2 separate regions of the Mus musculus genome follow, and region 1 is reported to be linked to region 2. The links are microRNA targets in miRTarBase. Many come from high-throughput screens and were not tested one by one. Region 2 holds a microRNA gene; the other region holds the end of a gene's coding sequence.

Region 1 (3,062 bases), not on the chromosome of region 2:
ACTGATTCTGCTTTCCTCTCTTCCTCACCACTCAACTGTATATATAGAGTTATTAGATGGGGACCTGAGAAGTCTTCATATTTGTCCTTCTTGTGTAGGAGTGTGTGTGTGTTCAGGGCAGATATAGTTCAGGAGAGTTGTCCAAGAGTGACAGAATTAAGAGGAAATATGTGTTAGGTGAGGAGATTTGATGAGAAGAAAGGAATTTTCAGGAGAACACAGTAAGTGAAAGTAGAGGAGAATTAATTAATCAACAATATTTCAGTCTTCATCTTCCTTTCCTACCCAGGTTATTAAGGCTGCAAAGCCAAAAACTGACATGAAAAGTGTGGAGTGAAGTCACCTCATTTGAAAAACCTTTTCCTGAAGAATCCTGATGCTGCTCCTTGAACTAGACTGAACTACCTGAGGATAGCATTTTACAACCTCATCATCATATTGTATTACTTAGAAAAGGACAAATACTCAAAAAACATCTGAAAAATATATGTAAACTTATTATTAATTAAGTTATTAAGACTGCCCAACCTGGGGATCCATCCTATATACAACCACCAAACCCAGACACTATTGCATATGCCAGCAAGATTTTGCTGACAGGATCCTGATATAGCTCTCTCTTGTGAGGCTCTGCCAGTGACTGACAAGTACAGAAGCAGATGCTCACAGTCATCTATTGGATGGAACACAGGGCCCCTAATAAAGGAGCTAGAGAAAGTACCCAAGCAGCAAGTGGTCTGCAACGCTATAGGAGGAACAACAACATGAACTAACCAGTACCCCCCAGAACTGTGTCTCCAGTTGCATATGTAGCAGAAGATGGCCTGGCCGGTCATCAATGGGAGGAGAGGCCCTTGGTCTTGCAAAGATCATATGCCCCAGTACAGGGGAATGCCAGGGCCAGGCAGCAGGAGTGGATGTGGGTGGGTTGGGGAGTGTGTGTGGGGGGTGTTATAGGGGACTTTCGGGATAGCATTTGAAATGTAAATGAAGAAAATATCTAATAAAATTGTTGCTTTGTCTAAGGTTTGAGATATCATTCTTCTCTACATAGACACTGAGGGTATAAGTATGGCGGGATTGCAGATGTGACAGCAGGGCCTTGTCGGAGAGACGCCTGTGGGTGATAGAGAAGATTGGTGATATATAATTTTTTAATTTAAAAATTTTAAATTTCCTTTTGGGGAGGAGGTTACAGGTGGAGGAGGGTGGGTATGATAGTACTAAGAAATCAGTGATATTGGGGTATGTGATGTGAAATTCCCTAGCACTCAATAAAAGAATTATGTTTTTAAAAAGAAAGATTGTTGATAAATAAATAAATATGATTTTACTCATGATTCAGAAAGTTAGAAAAAAGTTTGTGACTGTTCTATTTTTATTACTTATTCCATTTTTGATATCATAATACAATGATACTATTTCCCTCTTTCCTTTCTTCCCCCTAAATCCTCCCATGTACCATTCCTTGCTTTCTTTCAAATACATGGCCTTCTTTTTCATGAATTGTTGCTATAAGCATATATGCATATCTACATATATATATAAATACAACCTGCTCAATCTGTACAATGTTGCTTGTATGTATATTTTCAGGGATGACCATTTGCTATTGAATGATTAATTGCTGTGCTTTTTCCCAGAATAGACTGTTCTTCCAATAAATAATGTTAGGTAATTGCAAAAATCACATTTTTTTTTAGATTCCACCCAGAGAGCTGAGGTTGTAGTACAAGCACATGAGAAAAACCTAAGGAAAGACAAACATCTTCAGAGAGTGAGGAGAAGGAAATATTTCTACCTGGGGCAGGTAGTGCATACTAGACAACTCACAAATTATAATTAAGTTAAAATGTTAGCAAATTAACCAAGATTGAGTTTAGTGGCATGAGAATGGAGATCTTCTGAGAACCTCCACCATAAGGAGAGCTTATGCTCATTTTCAGGTACTTTCCTGGGTGGGCATGAGAAAGTCTGGGCACATGCCTGGGAAAGATGAGCCGCTGAGGGAAAGGCATGAAGGTCTCCCTTGAGGTCCTCATATATGATAAAATTTCTCTAGTGTTGCAGGATATTTAATTACACAGTGAACCTCCAGATTGTGTTGTTTACAAGAAAAAGCTAGGCACAATTGAAGAAAGAATGAGCCAGAGGATGAGAAAGAGCTAGAAGGTTAGAACACATTGCCAAAGTTAGTTTGAAGCCATCAGAGAAATTAAGAAGCTAAGGGAAGCCATATTGAATCAGGCTGGAGAGGAATTTTGAGTTTGGAAGCTAGAAGCTTCCAGGACTAGACCTAGGTTAGTAGACAGAGGCAGTAAGTCTCCAAGATGACTATTACCTCTTGTGAATAAAAGTTACTCTTACACTCTAGGGGAAGAGAAGCAACTCTTACTCTTCATGGCAAAGAGACCTGTTATGGTTTGTATATGCACAGCCCAGGGAGTGGCACTATTAGAAGGTGTGGCCTTCTTGAATTAGGTGTGGCCTCCTTGGAGTAGGTATTTTTAAGACCCTCATCCTAGATGCCTAGAAGCCAGTATTCTGCTAGCAACCTTCAGATGAAGATGTATAACTCTCAACTCCTCCTGCACCATGCCTGCCTGGATGCTGCCAAGCTCTCATCTTGATGATAATGGACTGAACCTCTGAACCTGTAAGCCAGCCCCAATTAAATGTTGTCCTTGTAAGACTTGCATTGGACATGGTGTTTGTTCACACCAGTAAAACCCTAACTAAGACAGGAAGCTTTGAAACAAGGGGAAGGAAAAATTGTTCTGCTTCTGGAGCAAAAGAAGGAATAGGTTCTAGGTATGGAATACTAAATCTTCCAACATGTGGAATTGTGTAGAATTAAGGATGAAACTCCTTCATACTTAGAAACACACATGACTCAGTGTTTGCCAAAGACAATAGATCAATAGAACTGTTGTCAGCTGAACAGATCAATAGAATATCCTCTAGTCACTCTACAATTTTTTTTCTTTTTATGACTCTGCTGAACAACCATCAGCTAACAGCTAACTGCAGACAGCTTCTAGGAGACAGTCATGTAAGTGCCT
Region 2 (3,000 bases):
CCTCCTCCTCCTCCTCCTCCTCCTCCTCCTCCTACTCCTCTCTGTCCTGACCCTTCTCACTTCCTGCCCGAGCTTGCTCATCTGCCTGTGTGATTTCCTACTTTCTGTCTCTGATGCTGTCTCCAGGTGGAGCTAAGAGGGAGTGGACTCCAGCCGGACCTGATAGAGGGCAGGAAGGGGGCTCAGATAGTGAAGCGGGCCAGCCTGAAAAGGGGCAAGCAGTGACCTCTCCTCAAGTAGCCCCTTGGGAGGTAACAGTGGCTTTCTCGTCCTTGCTGGCATGGTCCTTGATGAGGTAGCTGCTTGCTGCTCCCAACCCACCCCATCCTTGCACTACTAGCTCAGTTCAGAGTTAAAACCAGACTCTCAGAATCCCACTCCTCAAACTAGCCACTGTCTCTGCCCCTCCACGTCCTCTTCAGACCTGTGCCTCTCTGTTGACACCAGTCTGCTGGAGAGTACACAAAATCAGGGGCTTGGGTTTATTTTGCTTATTTATATTTTCTTTTGTCTTTTTTGGCTGTGTTAGGGGGGTGGGACCAGAGATAGGCATTCTGAGCCACACCTTCAGTCCCTGTGCAATTTAGTTATAAACAGAGTCTCTCTATATAGCCCTGGCTGTCCTGGAACTTGCTAAATAGACCAGGCTGGCCTTGAACCCACAGAGATCCAGCTGCCTCTGTACTGGAATTAAAGGCATGCAGCACCATGCCTGACTGTACCAGTATAATGTTAAAATAGTGCTTTGAAGTAGTGCTCAAAACACAGTCTGAGCCTATCTCACTACACATGGTCAGAAAGCACGCCAGACATAAACCTTAAGGCTCACTGGAGTCCTAACCTGCCATAGCTTTAATTCGATTACTGTTCTGAGAACAAGGCTGCTCGCTTGATGTCTGAGAAGGAACTAAGTTAGCAGACCCAAGGCATAGGTAGAATCTTCCCTGGAAGTGAGGAAGGTCTTCATGGCTAACGGCTGTACTAGTGTGTGAGGGGTGTGCGTCAGGGCGGGGGCCAAGGATGGGTGGGCCAGGCTACGCAACGAAGATCTTCAGCAGGCTGCAGTGCCCAAGAGCCAGCCTCAGCAGCCAGCTCTGATCTCGCCCTCCCTGAGGGGTCCTGTACTGAGCTGCCCCGAGGTCCTTCACTGTGCTCAGCTCGGGGCAGCTCAGTACAGGATGCGTCAGGGTGGGAGACAACGGGGAACAAGCCAGCATCACAGCCTCTGCCCATGCACAGCACTAACTGGGTTATTGCCCCTTCCCCCACCCACCCCCACCCCTGAACTCTCAGGGCCCAGCTCCAGAGCCGAGCAGCAGGCAGTCACTGGTTTTCTGCCTTCTGCAAAAAGCAGGGCCCGCGCAGCCTCCTGGGCCGGCAGAAGTGCTGACTTGATGCTTCCCAACATATCTCAGCACTTGGACAATATGAGGCTGGGCAGAGCCCGATAGGAGAGTAAAATTAGCCCTGACTCCTCAGCAGCTGTAAGGAGGTCACAGTGTTAACCCCAGCACTGCCAGGAGGGTCCTGCATGTCTGCTGATTTAAAGGCCAAGACTCGCTCTTGATCCCGGCTGGGAAACAACCCAAAGGTTCGAGTCATTTTTAAAGGAGGGAGGGAGGGAGAATGTCTTCTTCAGCCCTATCTTTCTTACAGTGGCAGCCGGACTTGCACTTGTGTTTGTTGGCTGAGACTTTATCCAGGGCCTCAATGGGAGGCAGCAACGGCAAGGCAGCTGAAGGACAGGGCAGAAGTAGAGTGTTTCATTAATTTACTGTACCCGGCATGCCCCTGCCCCAACACCCCCCCACACACACACACACTACACACATACACACACACACACACACAACACACTACATATACACACACTACACACACACAACACAACACACACACATACACATACTAAATACACAACACAACACACATACACACACACAGGCACAACACACTTACACACACACACACACACACACACCACACACACACTACATATACACACACTACACACACACAACACAACACACATACTAAATACATAACACAACACACATACACACACACATACACACACAGGCACAACACACTTACATACACACACACATACACTCTCTCACATACACACTACAGAGAGAGAGAAAGGGAGAAAGGGAAGGAGGGGGATATTTGCCACCAGACCTCATGAGTTTAGGAGTCAGGAATTCTGAGCAGCCTGGTTTGGACAGTACTTAGCCTCTGCCAACAAAAGACAGAGGGTGGGTGACTGGGGTAGTGACTGGGCAGAAGAGCGTGCAGTGGCAGGCTCCTGCCCAGGTCTGACCAGGTTGTGGAGCAGCAAGAGTGGCCCATCCTCAGTAAGAAGTTACCAAAGGGCTTCAGGCTCCGTCCCCACCACCACTGCCCCCAACCCCCGCCCCACAGGCAGTCCAGCCGATCCTTGTCATTCCTCTTCCGATTTGCCTACGCCCTAAACCTTTCTTGAAATCCAAAAATGAGCACCCAGTCCTTCCGTGCTCAGTCATTCCCAGACACACAGACAAAGGTGACCACAAAGTGATGGGCATGTGCCGTCCCCAGCTCCACCTTTTCCTGGGTCTCATGCTGCCCTTTATTTTTAATCTATTTAACGACACAGTGCATTTCCAAGTTCTTCATCGTTTGTTTCACTGTTTGTGTGGACGTTCTGTCTGTCCGGGGAAGATGAGTTCTAAGTCTTCCTGAGGCACTGTGTTGATGGCAATGGGGTGAGCACGAGTGAATGGCCTGCATACATGCGATGTGCCACCCTCAAAAAGAAATACACACGCAGCATGCTGATGGAGTCGCTGGCTGAGGAAAGCATGACCTTGCATGTCCCTTGGGAGCGGTGATTCAGTATTCGCTAATCCCACGCTCATACTTTATAGACCAGGACTACTGTGAATAATGAAAAGCATCTTATATGTTCCAAGTGTAAAAACTAGCCTTGGAGTCCAGATTCAAGACTTGGCTCCCCCA

The links. The annotated mature microRNA mmu-miR-486a-5p reads UCCUGUACUGAGCUGCCCCGAG and lies in region 2 at 1,118-1,139, shown strand. An mRNA with a match to its seed (bases 2 to 7 or 8) in the 3' UTR can be bound and repressed. Matches are read on the target gene's strand: a 7mer-m8 pairs with bases 2 to 8, a 7mer-A1 pairs with bases 2 to 7 and ends in A, and an 8mer does both.
Region 1: the mRNA of Aim2 is a reported target of mmu-miR-486a-5p. Seed matches in the 3' UTR shown: 7mer-m8 at 882-888.

Annotation. Positions count from the first base shown.
Region 1 is chr1:173,464,682-173,467,743 of GRCm38, forward strand. Aim2 (absent in melanoma 2) reads left to right here. Exons shown (of 9, transcript NM_001013779.2): 9 at 290-1,359. The coding sequence ends at 337. Among named protein-coding and RNA genes, the nearest start is that of Ifi206, 25 kb to the right of the region's middle.
Region 2 is chr8:23,141,470-23,144,469 of GRCm38, forward strand. It overlaps Mir486 (microRNA 486), which reads left to right and starts at 1,086; the gene lies at 1,086-1,213. It overlaps Ank1 (ankyrin 1, erythroid), which reads left to right. Exons shown (of 44, transcript NM_001110783.3): 43 at 127-251. The coding sequence ends at 225. Gm15816 (predicted gene 15816) reads right to left here. Exons shown (of 6, transcript NR_169137.1): 3 at 1,655-1,735. It overlaps Mir3107 (microRNA 3107), which reads right to left and starts at 1,193; the gene lies at 1,104-1,193.